Linked DNA regions of Macaca fascicularis. The protein of the gene in region 1 purifies or fractionates together with the protein of each later gene. This does not show direct contact. Links are inferred from orthologs where the notes say so. Each region holds a gene or a part of one and is shown in the gene's direction. Other genes may lie near its edges.

Evidence for each region. Proteins that work in one complex are often made in the same cells at the same time.
Region 2: the proteins of NEUROG3 (region 1) and C1QBP purify together in Homo sapiens (affinity purification with mass spectrometry; 3 studies listed by BioGRID and IntAct, counting the BioPlex papers as one, with this or other methods). This does not show direct contact. The link is inferred for Macaca fascicularis from reciprocal best matches to the Homo sapiens genes NEUROG3 and C1QBP.

What each region holds. Positions count from the first base shown.
Region 1 is NC_088383.1:76,857,983-76,862,322, forward strand, and holds the start of NEUROG3 (neurogenin-3), read left to right. Parts: upstream 1-1,492; 5' UTR 1,493-1,872; coding exon 1,873-2,520; 3' UTR 2,521-4,340. UniProt on the Homo sapiens protein: Acts as a transcriptional regulator. Together with NKX2-2, initiates transcriptional activation of NEUROD1. Involved in neurogenesis. Also required for the specification of a common precursor of the 4 pancreatic endocrine cell types.
Region 2 is NC_088390.1:5,502,437-5,506,663, reverse strand, and holds the start of C1QBP (complement component 1 Q subcomponent-binding protein, mitochondrial), read left to right. Parts: upstream 1-1,383; 5' UTR 1,384-1,478; coding exon 1,479-1,710; intron 1,711-2,293; coding exon 2,294-2,444; intron 2,445-4,227.

The sequences.
Region 1 (4,340 bases):
TTGGAAAGGTTTCCAGAGAGCGCTACCAGGGGCAACCCCAGGGGCTTGGGGAGTCCCTACCTTGTGCTCACTGTGCGATGCCCTAGTGATGCCGAGGCAGGGGGGTGGAGCAGGTGACTGCTGGCAGCCGCTGTCTGTCTGTGATTGGACCGAAGGACTAAGGGGAGAAAAAGTTTATCTGCTTCTCCCAGTGCCTGCACACCGTGATGGTTCAAAAGACACAAGGGGGAGGGGCGCCGCGGCTCTGCTTCCCAGCGCTTTGGGAGACTGAAGTGAAAGGAACGCTTGAGCCCAGGAGTTCGAGACCATCCTGGGCAACAAAGCAAGACCGCCCCTGCCATACAAAATAAATTAGCCGAGCACAGTGGCGCACGCCTGTAGTCTCAGCTACTCAGAAGGCTGAAGTGGGAGGATAGCTTGAACCTAGGAGATCGAGGCTGCAGTGAGCCGTGATTGCACCACTGCAGTCCAGCCTGGGTGACAGAAAGAGACCCTGTTTTGTTTTTGGTTTTGGTTTTGGTGTTTTTCTGTTTGTTTTTGTTTTTTTTGTTTTTTGGGTTTTTTGTTTTTGTTTTTGTTTTTTTTTGTCTGTTTGTTTAAAAAAAAAAAAAAGACGCAAGAGCTCACTGTGAACTCCTGGTTCCTTCCTCCCCTCCTCACACTTCCCAGAACTCTTCCTGTCACGGTTCCTAGACAGAATGCTGGGATACTATCCACAAGCTGTAGTAGGCTTGTAATAATGGAATGTCCCCTTGAGGGGTCCCCCCCACAGTCACCCGCTGCCTCTGGAGTGAGATCTATGGGGGTGGGGTTCTAAGCGCCTCTGGGGAGGGTGAGGTAGCATTTCAGGGTGTGGCAGAGGCTCGGACACCCCCAATAGAAGGTCTGTGAATGGAAGGGACATAGGCAGGAGCTCTCTCAGTGATGGCCCTTGTCTTCCAGGATGAAGAGAGGCAGTGAAACACCAGGAGAGCAGGGCGTACTTTAGAATAATTCCTGGACCCTTCTCCAGGCTGCTAGTCAGGACAACGAGCTCCTGGTTGTCTCCGCCACTATCTTGCTATGCGATTTCGGACAAGCCATCTCCCTCACTAAGCCTAAATTTCCCCATGTGTAACGTGTGGGCATTGTACACTAGAGGCATCAAAGTCCCCTCCAGGACAGATGCTAAGTAAAGATAGGCTAGGAGCAAAGCGGTCTGGGGTGGCCAGACGAGAGCCACACGAGGCCCTTCTCACTGGGCGAGGCTCTTTGAGGAACTGAGAGTTGCTGGGACCCAGCCCGCGGCGAGAGAGCAAACAGAGCGGCGCTCCCCTCCCCCGACCCCGGCCCTTTGTCCGGAATCCAGCTGTGCCCTGCGGGGGAGGAGCGGGCTCGCGTGGCGCGGCCCCAGGGCCCTGGAGCTGATTGGCCGGTGGCGCGGGCAGCAGCCGGGCAGGCACGCTCCTGGCCCGGGCCAAGCAGATAAAGCGTGCCAAGGGGCACACGACTTGCTGCTCAGGAAATCGCCGCGGTCTCACCTCCGCGCCGCGAGAGAGAGCGCGACAGAGGCCCGGGACCCCATTCTCTCTTCTTTTCTCCTTTGGGCTGGGGCAACTCCCAGGCTGGGGCGCCTGCAGCTCAGCTGAACTTGGCGACCAGAAGCCCGCTCAGCTCCCCACGGCCTAGCTGCTCATCGCTCTCTATTCTTTTGCGCCGGTAGAAAGGTAACATTTGGAGGCCGCCGAGGGACGGGCAGGGGAAAGAGGGATCCTCTGACCCGACGGGGGCTGGGAGGATGGCTCTTTTTGTTTTTTTCCACCTAGCCTTGGAATCGCGGACTGCGCCCAGTGACAGACTCAAGCTTACCCTTCCCTCTGACCCCGCCGTAGGATGACGCCTCATCCCTCGGGTGCGTCCACTGTCCAAGTGACCGGTGAGACGGAGCGGTCCTTCCCCAGAGCCTTGGACGACGAAGTGACCTGCCCCACGTCCGCTCCGCCCAGCCCCACTCGCACACGGGGGAGCTGCGCGGAGGCGGAAGGGGGAGGCTGCCGAGGGGCGCCAAGGAAGCTCCGGGCACGGCGCGCGGGACGCAGCCGGCCTAAGAGCGAGTTGGCACTAAGCAAGCAGCGACGGAGTCGGCGCAAGAAGGCCAACGACCGCGAGCGCAATCGAATGCACAACCTCAACTCGGCGCTGGACGCGCTGCGCGGTGTCCTGCCCACCTTCCCAGATGACGCGAAGCTCACCAAGATCGAAACGCTGCGCTTCGCCCACAACTACATCTGGGCACTGACTCAAACGCTGCGCATAGCGGACCACAGCTTCTACGCGTTGGAGTCGCCGGCGCCGCACTGCGGGGAGCTGGGCAGCCCAGAAGGCGGATCCCCCGGGGACTGGGGGTCCCTCTACTCCCCAGTCTCCCAGGCTGGCAGCCTTAGCCCCGCCGCGTCGCTGGAGGAGCGCCCCGGGCTGCGGGGGGCCACCTCTTCCGCCTGCTTGCGCCCAAGCACTCTGGCTTTCTCAGATTTTCTGTGAAGGGACCTGCCTGTCGCTGGGCTGTGGGTGCCAAGGGTAAGGGAGAGGGAGGGAGCCGGAGCCCTAGAGGGTGGCCGATGGCGGCGACCCTCAAAAGCACTTGTTCCTTCTGCTTCTCACTGGCTGACCCCTGGCTGGCCCAGGCCTCCGCGGGGGCTGCAGGCTGGGTTCATTCCCCGGCCCTCCGAGCCGCGCCAACTCACGCAGCCCTTGCTGCCCGCGCGAAGTGGGCATTGCAAACTTCGCTCATTTTAGGCCTCCTCCCTGCCACCACGCCATAATCTCATTCTAAGAGTACGAGAATGGTAGCACTACCCGGCCGGAGCCGCCTACCGTCTCGGGTCGCCCTACCCTCACTCAAGTCTGTCTCTCAGTCTCTTACCACCCCTCCTCCAATGTGATTCAATCCAATGTTTGGTCTCTCAGCGCTTGCTCCCCTTGCCCTGCTCCAAAGACGCTGCCGATCTTCTCTACTCCCAATCAGGTCCGGCGTTTCAGGGCGCCTCACTCTGCCTTAAAGCCACGAAGGCGACCCTCTGCCTTCTCCTCGTGCACTTTTCGGAGCCATTGCCCTCCCGGGGCGGAAGACCAGGCTATGAACTGGGAAAGCCCAGCCCGGCCAGGGAGCACCTCCCCAGCCTCCCTGCGAGCTGCGCCTGAAACGTGAGCTGCGCTGCAGGTGCCTGGAGCACCGCGCATGTTTTTTGTTTTGTTTTGTTTTTTTAATCGGTTTGTAAATTATATGATGTCTTTTGAAATCAAGTTTGGTACAGTAAATTATATGCCCCCCCCCCGCGCCGTTTTACACATTTGTATTTATTAATGAGATTTCACAGCAAGGAAAAGTCTATATTTTGTATATTAGATTATTTAGGGATTGCTGGGTGAGATTTTAAGCCAATTAAAAAAAATGGACCTTCAGGAAACCTTGGCAAGGTGACTTCATTGTGCGTTGGGGAGAGGAGAGCTACAGTCACTACAGTTGAGGAAGAGCACCTCTGTCCAAGGAGAGGGATGACACTCTTTCTAGAGGTCTGGACTAGAGCCAGGGCAGATTGGGTTTGGAGAGCTGGAAGTCTTATAAGTAATTATTGGTCCAGCCCCCTTTTTTCTATGTAGGGCAATGAATCCTCTTATTTCAAAGAGCGGTTTAGAAGAAAGACAAGCCTCCAGCTAGGACTACTGACTCTCACTTGCCGGCCCTTTCCCCAACTCCACCAGCCTAGCTCTAGAGCAACTGTCGGGGAAGGCAGACAGTAATAATTCAATTGCAGACTCAGAGTCCTTGGAAACACAGCTGGGCTGGGCATCCTAGGAATTTTCCCAAGGTGCTTAGAGGCCTAGCACATCCCCTGAGCATATTTTACTCAGGCACTGAGGTGGCTGTGTCTTGAACTTGTTGAGCTGAGCAGCCAGGAGCAAAGAAAGTGGAGTGTCTGACTGGAATCTCCAGCAACACCCCCTCCCTCGTTACCTGGCAGCCTTGATTGAAAATTTATCAAGAAACTGTTCAAGGTTTCCAGCCACACCATCTCTCTTACTGGCAAGGTGGAAGGACTGGTGCAGCATGGGCACTGAAATCTGTCCCAGGAGTGCCAGTAGAACACCCCTACATGACTTCAGGGACCCTAGGACCTCAGAGAATATGGTCTAAGCTGTAAGGATCCACAGAGTTCGCCTGCTGCTTGGGAATAGGAAAGTGGAGGACAGGCACCCTACCTGCTAGTTGAACTCCAGAGACCTCCTTGAATTGGCCAGGGGTGTCCTGGGAAGAAGTGGGCCAACCCAGGTCGGGTGTGGTGCTGCCAGACCCCTGGAGC
Region 2 (4,227 bases), on another chromosome or scaffold:
AACCCTGTCCTTGGGTTTTTATGGAAGCTTCTGGACCTATCTAAATGATACAAGCCGGCTTCTTGTCCCCAGAAAAATGATGTTCCATTAGAACTTGGATGCAGGGTCGGAGGTGCAGAGAGGGAAGGTCACAGAAATTACTCATGGATCCTGCCCTTCAGGATGTCACAGTCTGGTTGGGTTTAACCCGGTTAAAACCAGCAATGCCAGGAGGTTTCTGTTGAAGAGAATGAAGCCTAAGGGCTGGGTGCGCACAAGCATGAGTTCTAAGCCGATGGAAAAAAGGAGGTTCTAGGAAGGCCTCTTTCAGGAAAACCCTGACCTCTTCCTTTGCTCTTACAACAATCAGCACAGAAGAGTTCTGTGACCAAAGGTTTGGGTTTTTTCCCTCCACACTAAGCAGCAGACACCAGCGGGGTGTCCTCCAATTCAATCCCAACATTATCTACCTGGAGACAGTGTCAGATCCCATGAGACAGTGTCAGATCCCATAGGTTGAGGGCTCAGTCCCCAAGACCGCCCCGACCTTCAGACAGCAATGGCAAGTCTGGGCCTCTGAAACTTCCGACCAGCCCGCTTCAAGTGGGGGTTCCCACGACCCCCCTCTTTGGGTTGTATTAACTCACTGGAGCAGCTCACAGAACTCAGGGAAACACTTTTACCGGTTTCATATAAAGGATATTACCAAGGATACAGATGAGGAGATGAGCAGGGTGGGCAGTGGGGAAGAAGCTCCGATCTTCCTCGCCGTCCCTGGGCCACCACCCTCCAGGAACCTCCACGTATTCAGCTATCAGAGGCTCTGCAAACCCTGTCCTCATGGGTTTTTATGGAAGCTTCTGGACATCAGCATCCCTTCCCCCAGGGCATAGGGTGGGACCTTCTCTGGGAAGGGACTTAAGACCCATAATCAGAAATGTGGGAGATTAGAGTCCTGCATTGGGGCGGGTGAAAGGAGGGCGGGAGAAGGGGAGAGTGAGAGTCTGTTTCCTGAGGCCTAACACACCCAACATTATCACAGAACACTGTAACGAGGGCTATGGGAGTTACGACCCAGGAACTGGGGATGAAAACCAATAAATACATAATATAACACCACAGCCTCCTAGAGGAAAGTGACCGTGTAAGGGGCTGGTGAGAGCTGGGGGAAGACAAGAGTGCATTCCACACAGCCCAAAAGCCTGGCGTGCCTTGAAAACAGTAGGTGGAAGCGGCCACTAGAAAGAATTAAACAGCTTCGGACAGAGGACTCAGGCCAGCGCAGCAAGAAGGCTCCGGAAACCGGATTCGAGGCTTCCCGGGCTGCACCGGAGGCCTCCAGCAGAAGGCGCGATTCCGCCTGGGGCCTTAGGTCCTCAGTGCGCCGGCGCGGGAAGCGCTTCCGGGCAAGGGCGGGGCTTCCGGCGGCGCTTTAGGTCGCGGGGTACTTGGGCCTGGATTGTCCTTTGCATCTGCACGTGTTCGCAGTGGATTGCGCGATGCTACCTCTGCTGCGCTGCGTGCCTCGTGTGCTGGGCTCCGCCGTCCCCAGCCTCCGCGCTGCCGCGCCCGCCTCGCCTTTCCGGCAGCTCCTGCAGCCGGCGCCCCGGCTGTGCGCCCGGCCCTTCGGGCTGCTCAGCGTGCGCGCAGGTTCCGAGCGGCGGCCGGGCCTCCTGCGGCCTCGAGGACCCTGCGCCTGTGGCTGTGGCTGCGGCTTGCTGCACACTGAAGGTGAGGTTCGCGCACGCGGGCCAGGGGTGTGGTTTGCGGTTCACGGAGGGGAAAAGACCAGGAGTGGGGCCTGCAACCGACCTCCGAGGTCTGGGACATTTTTCCATTGATTGGCAACCAGCGGGTTAAACCCACGTGTGATCATATTCCCCCCACCTCCCCTATCCACCAGTTTCATTTTCTGTTGGTAGGGGGGTGAATAAAATTAAATACTAGAGGGTACCTTCATCCTTAGTCTTATTCTCTCGAAAGTGGACTTTTGGGAAAGCCCAAGGTCGTGTTTGAAAATAGCATACGATACAACTATCGTTTGGCAAGTGGAAGAGGATGATCGGAAATTCTTCTGCTTTATAGCGGAAAGTGGTAATGCGTTCATTGTTGGAAATCACTTTTCCAGCATCAGGCTCAGCTTCCCACTAATATTATGGTATTTTTACAGATAAGGAAACTGAGGCTTCTAGAGTAACTGTAATAGCAGAGAGATTAGAAATAGTCCAGGTTTCTGGCTGCGATAACCAGGGTAATAGTTTTATGTTTTAGACTAACTGGCTTTCCTTTTTATGTATATGGATTTCTTTTCTAGGAGACAAAGCTTTTGTTGATTTCCTGAAGGATGAAATTGAGGAGGAAAGAAAAATCCAGAAGCATAAAACCCTCCCTAAGATGTCTGGAGGTTGGGAGCTGGAACTGAATGGGACAGAAGCGAAATTAGTGCGGAAAGTTGCCGGGGAAAAGTAAGTACTGGTCTGGGGATCCCAGGGCACCGACTCCCTTAACCTTGCAAGACCCGTCCTGGGTCATCCCTAGAAGAGCCTTGAGTTCAGGTGTGGATAAATGGTTTTCAAGAGAGTGAAGGATTCAATTGGACAGCTTCATAAGGTCCAGGCAGTCCATTCACTGAACACAAATTTGCTGTGGGCTGGTTACTAAGGAGACAAAAATGTAGCGCAAAAAAGTACTGACAGAATCTGTTTGATCTCTGATTTACAGCGCTGATACAGTAGCACCCTGCTCTCTCTAATGTTTAGCTTGGGTGAAAATGCAAGGCATGTAACTTATATGTAACAGGATGGGGTTCCACTGTAGTAAGGGCTGCCATCAGAGGCGGGGAGTTTGTGACCTAAGTCAGGTGCCCCACCTTCTCCTAAACTGTTAGTGTTTACACTTTTCTGCATTATAGTCATCCATAATCTCATTACACAGATAGACATTTGTCATCTTCCAGATTTTTAAATTGAGGCTGGGTGCAGTGGCTCACGCCTATAATCCCAGCACTTTGGGAGGCAGAGACGGCAGATCATGAGGTCAGGAGATCGAGAACATCCTGGCTAACACTGAAACCCTGTCTCTACTAAAAATTTTAACAGGGTGTGGTGGCAAGCACCTGTAGTCCCAGCTACTCAGGAGGCTGAGGCAGGAGAATCGCTTGAACCCCCGGGTTTCAGTGAGCCGAGATGGCGCCACTGTACTCCAGCCTGAGGGACAGAGCAAGACTCCATCTCAAAAAAATAATAAATAAATAAATAAATTGAATTTTCTTTATAATTGACCTTATGATGTATATGTAATTCTTTTTTAAAATCACAGCTTTAATGTGATTTAATTTATATGGCATAAAATTTACCCATTTATTGAAGTTTATTAAATTAAGTGGTTCTTAGTCCTCACAGAATTATGCATCGGTTACCACTACCTAATTCTAGAACATTGTTGTCAATCCCCAAACAATACCTATTAGCAGTCACTCATTATTCCTCCCTCTAGCCACCCCAGGTAATCACTAAGCTACTTTATGGATTGCCTCTTTTGGACATTTCATATAAATGGAATCATACAATTTGTAGCTTCCTCCCCACCCCACGGAGTCTTGCTATTACCCAGGATGGAGTGCAGTGGCACGATCTTGGCTCACTGCAGCCTCTGCCTCCCGGATTCGGACAATTCTCCTGCTTCAGCCTCCTGAGTAGCTGAGATTACAGGCATGCGTCCAGTTAATTTTTGTATTTTTAGTAGAGATGGGGTTTCGCCATGTTGGCCAGGCTGGTCTCAAACTCCTGACATCGTGATCCGCCCTCCTCGGTCTCCCAGAGTGCTGTGATTACAGGTGTGAGCCACCCTGCCCAGCCTGTTTACATTTTTAATTGTTGGGTTGTAAGAGTTCTTTAGTTTTGACCGGGCACGGTGGCTCACACCTTTAATCCCAGCACTTTGGGAGGCCGAGGCAGGTGGATCACAAGGTCAGGAGATCAAGACCATCCTGGGTAATGCAGTGAAACCCTGTCTCTACTAAAAGTACAAAAAATTAGCCAGGTGTAGTGGCGGGCGCCTGTAGTCCCAGCTACTCAGGAGGCTGAGGCAGGAGAATGGCATGAAGCCCAGAGGCAGAGGTTGCAGTGAGCCGAGATCACGTCACTGCACTCCAGCCTGGGCGACAGAGTGAGACTCTGTCTCAAAAAAAAAAAGAATTCTTTAGTTTTTCTGGGTATAGTGATCTTACCAAATTAATGATTTGCAAGT